Linked DNA regions of Danio rerio. Each later gene encodes a partner of the first gene's protein in a complex. Links are inferred from orthologs where the notes say so. Each region holds a gene or a part of one and is shown in the gene's direction. Other genes may lie near its edges.

Region 1 (3,758 bases):
TTTAAACCCCTTGAGTTCGAGTAAACAGTGAGTACATTTTCGGTAATGGGTGAACTATCTCTTTAAATGATCCGAAACATTACCAATAATAACATAAAGACACAAAGAATGCAACTCGGCCTGAACCATAGACCATTTTGAGAGATGTAAACAAACAATGGTCCCAATTAATGTATTTTCTGTTTTACATTTTAACTTAGCTTCTGAGAATCCAAGAGCCACATATTGGTTATGATGGCTGTTTTAACATTATAATTAAATTGCCTCTTGACCAATGACATGACCACATTGAAATGGTCTGCAGAGACAGTTCACCCAAATGTCTTAATTCTGTAATCATTTACTCAATGTCCTAGTGAAAAAAACAGCTTAAACCAGCCCAGGCTGGTTGGCTGGTTATAGCTGGTCGACCAGGCTGGTTTTAGAGGGGTTTTGGCCATTTCCAGGTTGGTTTCCAGCCATTTCCAACCTGGTCTTAGCTGGTCAGGCTGAGAGATGACCAGCTTGACCAGCCTAGCCAGGCTAGGAGCCCAGTTAAAACCAGCTATATTCAGCTTAAACCAGGCTGGTCAAGTTGGTTTTAGCTGGATTTAGCTGGTCATTTTCCAGCCTGACCAGCTAAAACCAGGCTGGAAATGGCCAAAATCCCTTTAAAACCAGCCAACCAGCCTAGGCTGGTTTAAGCTGAATTTTTCAGCAGGGTCACTTGATCTAAACTGGTTTGATTTCTTCTGTTCAGAACAAATGATTAGAAAGCTGGGATGAAAATTGCACGGACTGTGTTCAACATGACAGAAGCACAAATGGATTTGAAACCACTTGAGGTTGAGGAAACATGACTACACTTTTTATTATTGGGCGAACTATCCCTTTAATAAATTGAAACATTACCAATAATAACATAAAAAACACAAAAAAACTTGCCATAAAACCAAGAAAAATACTAACATGAATGAAGTTTTTTCTCCTTGCACACACTTGAAGTCTCCGGAAGATGGCGGAGTGGATCTTATTGTTACCCAAAAACTTTCATCGAGTTGCGAAGAAGAAGGAAGCGCTGTGGCTGTTGTTGTCAGAGATGTTGCTGTGGAGACGCTACATTTGCAACTTTATAATTCAGGTGAGACAAGACACAAATGTTTTTATTATTATGTTATTATGTTATTATTTCCTACTCAACGTATTTTAGCGAACGCTTATTAAATTTACACGATAAAATGCCTCAGTGTGGATTAGCAGATTAGTTTTGTATAACGTTTTGCATAATGAAGCATGCCAAATGTAATTCTGAATCGTGTGTTGTGTTTGCTCGTCCATTTTGCATGAAGACCAGATTTTCCCGTTTGGGTGAGGTGATTTTCTTTAAAGACTGACGTAAAGTTGGTTTTGAGCAATTCCAGCGTTATGGATGTGACATTTGCAGTAAAAACTCAACCCATAAATTGACAGAGAAAGTATATGTTAACATTTTATTGAAAAATTTGATTATATTTTCTAGAGCAACTAGCCACAAAGTTATGGGAGCAGAAAAATATCAATCTGTAAACGTGTTTTGTACTTTAAATGTGGAAAATAAGCATGCCTTATGGATGTGACAAAAAAAAGTCTGCGAGTTTACAGTATACAACACACTTTGTAGAAATTATGTGAATTAAACTGCACAACCCAAAAGAAATAATGCTAATCAAAAGGATTTGAGTCGGCTCTCTATAAAACAAAAATGATTGGTTTTATTTTATTTAATATTTTCACATTTCTGATGAAAAAGTGTTGTTATGGATGTGACATCTCTCTGTTATGGATGTGACGCATGTGAAATTACCATTTGTGTGACTTTGGTAAATCAAATAGTAATAGTTTGAAAACATTAACAGATGCTTTTTGAGTATTTTTAAAGTACTGTAAAATACTTGCCTACACAAAAAAACAGAAATGGTTTTCCGTATTTTGGTAAAAACTTAATTTTTTTTTCATGGCAAGGTTGACATTTGCACGGAATTGCTCTTTTACATTCACAAATTCGCTCAGTGACAACTTTTGACGTGCTCCTAATGTTTTCCATGGTACTTTGAATACTCGGTCTGACATAATATGCAAGTATGACTTCAAAACAACATTAGCAATATTTATTTAACTGTGAATTCACTATTGTAAGTTACTTTGTCTCTTGGTCATTGGCTGCTAATGATTTTTCAAGAGTAGTTTATAAAGTTATATTATCAAGGAGAAAGTCCAAATATGTGAATATAAATCCAACTTTGCCTTGACTTAAGTTTTAGTTAAAGGGATAGTTCACCACAGAGTTACATTTTACTCACTTTTTACCCTTCCTCAAATGGCTTTTTAAACCAGTTGATACCAGAAGTTTACATACACTGTATAAAAAGGCACTTTAGTCAGATGTCAATGTGAGTAATCTTTTTCTCTTTTCGTAAGTTAGGTTTATCATATTTGTTTCTGTTCTGCTTAATAGCAGAATTATAAGAGATATTTTTTGAGAAACTTTTTTTGAAAGTCAAGATTATATAAAATACGATTATTATGCCTCTAAAAAAGCTTAAAGGATGGTGTAAAGGTTTTTGGAGTTTCTGATTGGCTAGCTGACAACATTTGAGTTAATTGGAGGCACAACTGTAGAAACTGTAAACTTTTGACTGTCTAGAACAGGTGTGGGCAAACAGGATCCTGGAGGGCCAGTGTCCTGCATAGTTTAGCTCCAACCCTATTCAAACAGACCTCCCTGTAGAGTTCAAGTGATCTTGAAGACACTGATGAGTTTGTTCAGGTGTGTTTGACTAGTGTTGGAACAAAACTCTGCAGGGACACCGGCCCTCAAGGACCAAGTTTGCCCATCCCTGGTCTAGAAATTATAAAAAAAAATTCTTTACAAATTTTCTCTCATTATTCTGGCATTTAGCAAATGTAAATCATGTAGGTAATCCTAACGGACCTAAAATAGTAAACGTTTAGTATGATTTACCATCAGACATTGTTTTTTTAAATGGTTATGTTACTTTTTTTTTAAAGTGTAAGTAAACTTCTGGTTTCACCTGTAAATGTGAAATCATCAACAAAAACTTGAACCCCTTCTATGTTTACAAAAAAATCCGGAACGTCTTTGCCTGTGTGAACAGCGCTTTTTAGAATTTACCGGTAAAGTCGTTCTGGTAATTTTCCGGATATTTACCACTATCGCTGTGTGAAAGGGGCTAGGGACTTGCCTAATTACCCTAAGTTGCCCTTAACCTAGTTAAGCCTTTAAGCTGAATTAGAGCTGCACGATTCTGGATAAAATAAGAATCGCGATTTTTTTTGCTTAAAATAAAGATCACCATTTTCTCACGATTCTGTAGATGTAAAATAAAGGAATGGTAAAAACAGACATATGGCACAACATCGCTAATAATATTATGTGTAGGTCTACTGGTGTCTATAAATAATTCTATTCTACTTATAATAATTCTGACGTTGAATTATTATGTTTGAGATATATGCTTGCAATCTGTCATATTAGACTATTTAATTCACTGGTAAAATCAGACATTTGCCATCATCAGATTATATTCAGCAATATATAAGCTAGAGTAGTTATACTGACATTGTAAACATTTATTTTCATGCACAACTGTGTGTTCGCTATGAAAGAAAACACATCAAATGCTTGTCGTAATCATAACTCTAAAATGCGATGTGATCATTTAAATGAAGTGCACACTTTCGGTTTCATTCTGACTGCTAAGTGCTTGTTCATACTTTGC
Region 2 (3,658 bases), on another chromosome or scaffold:
GTTGGTTGCTCTAACAAGGAGGCTAAAGACCATGGCGTCTGCTAGAGCACTTTTTAAGGTCAGAGGAGTGAGGTTTACTTACATAGCACTTCGCTAGCTGGCTTCAGTTACATATGTATTCAAAATTTGTCTAAAAATAGTTATTTATTTTATTTGTCATGAACTGGTAAAAATATAGACATCTGAACTACCAAACAGGAAAAAAAAAACATAATTGTTACCCTCACCGTGGCATCAATGGTACTTTTTTTTTTTAGAGTAACTAATTTATCAGCAACTTCCTCTAATTTCTTCTGTGTGATTATTTTTTTCTTCAAATATTTCTGCTATTATTATAAAGTACTATTTAATGGAAAGGACATATTTTTCAACACAATTTAAATTATAATATATAATATTAAATTTATATATAAGAAATATATAAGAAAAACTGAAATTATTTTTTGCTTTGTTAAATTTTAAAAAAAGAATTAAGATTTCACAGAAGGGCTAATTTTGTGTCCTCTACTATTACTATAGCAGTGTTTGAAAATTTTTTATTGATTTTGGAGAAAGTGAGCAATCGTATGATTGATTTGGGTCTCCAAAAACATGGAGCATTTTAATAATATACTGTAATAGTTATATATGTGTTCTATGTGCAGGTGTGTTTAATGGTGCTCAGCTTGGCCCATGTGATCTGATACTGCACCGTCTGCGCTTTGAGGAGGTAGATGCAGCTCTGGGAATTCTGGGTAATATGGACTGGGCTATTATGGGGGCAGAGTGTTACAGGTCACTCATCTCCATCACCGATCACCTGCTGAGAAAACCACTGGACCAGCAGACTGAAGGTAAAGACCCCAGACCTGCAGGCTTTGATTTCTGAATGGAGACTAAACCTAAACTTAATTAGTGTCAGGGAAAGTGTACAGTAATCTCAGCTTAGAATTAAATACGGTCTTTACTTGTGAAAATAACACCTTTTAAATCACATTATATGATCTGGTTCTGAATGTATTTGGCAAACAGGACAATTCAGCACATTAAAAACCAATGATAAATTATTTTATTTATTGAGAATTTACATTTATGGCCCCCAATAGTATTTTAGTATATCTGTTTTGTTGGTCACTTTTACTTTTTTTGTTAGTTCCCCAAAGGACAAGCTACTGACTATAAGTACATTTTTTAAGTACATTGCAACTTAGGTGATGAGGAGAGGTCCACGAGCTGTGATTGGCGAGTTGCCATTTAGTTTGAGACTTAGTTGTAAACTAAAAGTGGTCATCAAATACAGGTCTAACGATTATAAAAATATTAATTCCAACAACTCTATTGAATTGTAGCAGGCAGCATTATGACTATGGTGAGAAAAACAGGTCTTATTAAATATTTTGTATTTTTCATTGCCACATCTTGTGACTTGATGTGTTATGTTCATTCATATTTAAGCCAAAGTTCATCAGAGATGGTTTCAAGCAAATCTTTTCACTCACTTTTTTGCGATTTGCATGTTTGGTCAACATCGAGTTTATTTTGTAGCGTTCACATTTAATAAACTGAACTGCACTAACAGAGTAAATCCACAAGAGTTTGTTTTAATCAAACCAATCAAGAAACAATCCTGCCAAGTGTGAACACACACTTAAACTCACTGTGACATTACCTGGTGAAAAAATTCACTCAGAAGATTGGAGGAAGATTAGATTTGCAGACTCCACTGTAATATTTTGCATTTTAAGCAATGAAAACTGTTTGCAGCCACCGCTTGTACAAATTTAATACCTTTGTGTGTCATTACAGGCCAGCTGGAAGCAGCTCTGGGGGTGTTTTATGCGCCCTGTAGACCTCTCTCAAACACTGTCATTCTGGAGTACAGGGACCCCATCAGCAGATACGCTCGACGATTCTTCCATCACCTACTCAGGTACACACCTGTTCCATTGTGTTTCTCTTCACTTAAAAAAACTCATTAACAAAATAGTTCACACAGTACTGAAAAAATGTTGGTTATTTAACTCTCACTAAAACCATACAAGATGTAGGCCACTTTTTTTAGTAGAACATTTAAAGAAGATTTTAAGCTGAATTAAACAGCTAAGTGTATCAAAATAACACTTAATGTTTCATGAGGCAAAACACTTCTAAGGTTGACCTACAGACCTCAGATGGCATTAGTGTGAGTTTGGAGTAAACCATCCCTTTAAATGAAAATGAGCAGTTAGTCAGGTGTTCAGAAATGGCTGTATTTCTCTCTTCCAGACACCAGCGCTTTGAAAAAGCCTTCTTGCTGGCTGTAGATATCGGTGCTAGAGATCTGTTCATGGTGAGCACTTTCTTTTATACATGCACATACAATAAACACTAAATGGATTTGGAGATTTAAGCAACACGTTTAAATATAATAAGACCATTGCTTTAGAGTAATTTTCATCAGTCAAATCTTTATATAAAAATGCTCAAAGTTCTCTGTTTGCCGACAAGAACAATGCAAGTAAAGCTAACTTTTAAAACATTAAAGATTTTCCATTTTAAAATCTACATTACTTTTATATAAAATATACTATTACTTAAATATAAACTATAATGTTGTTGTATTTAAACTTTTATTTCAATAATGGTGATTATACATGGCTTTTATGTATTAGATATGTATTAAAGCAATTTACGTATTTAAAAAAGTTCAAAATTGCAGGCAGAGGGCATATTTAAAAAATTAAATTAAATTTATTTAAAAAAATTAATAATTTGTTAAAACAATACTACATATAATCAAAGCATTGACCTATGATGATCAATATTACAAATGTTATATAACTTCAAGTTGAATGAAAAATGTGTTTTAAACTGACTTTAAAGTGAGTTGGCATTGTGCACGATATCAGTGCAGTTACGGGTGGCTTCCGCCTGCAGAGAGCTTTGAGCTGGCTCTGTTATGGGCTGAGAGGCTCTGGGCAGGTGCAGCTCAGGGTTTGAGGCCCCTGGCCATGTCACGTCTCCTCTCTCCTACCATAACAAGAATCCCCGAGACTCCAGAGAGCAACAGTTGCTAAGCGAAAAAGGGAGGGGGTCGGAAGAAAAAGGGAGAGTGAGTGAGCCTGTCTTTCACAGCTCTCGTGGCCGGTGCACTATCTTTTCTCTCCTGCTCCTTTCTCACTCCTTTAAATGGTCCTGTGTGTGTGACCCCTTTTCTAGGCCTCCTCTCTCCATGCCCGAGTGACACCTTCCCTATTAGCGTTCACACCGGCCGCTGTCTCTCTCTTTCTCCCTGTCCTTTTTTCATGCAGTTCCTCTCTCTCCCTCCTTCTTTCACGCCGATCGCACTCGTTCCAATTCATTCCCCACTAAGTGCTGCTGCTGAGGGCCCCAATTGAAAAGGTGGAGCTCGAGCCACACAAGCCTGAAAGGGCAGAGAAGAGAGAGAGGGAGGGAGGGAGAAGGGCAAAGGAAACCTGGATCTGTTATTCTTGGGACATGCACTGGGAAAAGCAAAAAGAGAAAGGATGAGAGAGGCGAAAGTGGCAAATTATGAATGGCCCATGAATATCAGTGCTTCTGAATCAACAAAGAGCAGCCAGCGAGCGAGCAAGTGAGGTAAAGACAGAGAACTAGGGAAAGAGAGAGAGAGAGAAGGAGCTAAAGGCAGTGGCGTTTCACCCTGCGGTTTTGGCTCTTG

Evidence for each region. Proteins that work in one complex are often made in the same cells at the same time.
Region 2: the proteins of fuz (region 1) and wdpcp are in contact, whole or in part, in a cryo-EM structure (PDB 7Q3D), measured with the Homo sapiens proteins. The link is inferred for Danio rerio from reciprocal best matches to the Homo sapiens genes FUZ and WDPCP. Residues at the interface, in NP_079405.2 of Homo sapiens: His293, Glu372, Glu373, Pro374, Arg379, Gln397, Pro399, Thr400, His401, Gly402, Ser405, Leu406; in NP_056994.3 of Homo sapiens: Arg55, Ile57, Asn75, Lys78, Leu82, Glu418, Asp419, Arg420, Leu421.

Annotation. Positions count from the first base shown.
Region 1 is NC_133177.1:3,682,483-3,686,240, forward strand, and holds the start of fuz (protein fuzzy homolog), read left to right. Parts: upstream 1-1,039; 5' UTR 1,040-1,120; intron 1,121-3,758. UniProt on the Homo sapiens protein: Probable planar cell polarity effector involved in cilium biogenesis. May regulate protein and membrane transport to the cilium.
Region 2 is NC_133192.1:25,690,953-25,694,610, reverse strand, and holds part of wdpcp (WD repeat-containing and planar cell polarity effector protein fritz homolog), read left to right. Parts: intron 1-644; coding exon 645-833; intron 834-1,785; coding exon 1,786-1,909; intron 1,910-2,244; coding exon 2,245-2,308; intron 2,309-3,658. UniProt on the Homo sapiens protein: Probable effector of the planar cell polarity signaling pathway which regulates the septin cytoskeleton in both ciliogenesis and collective cell movements.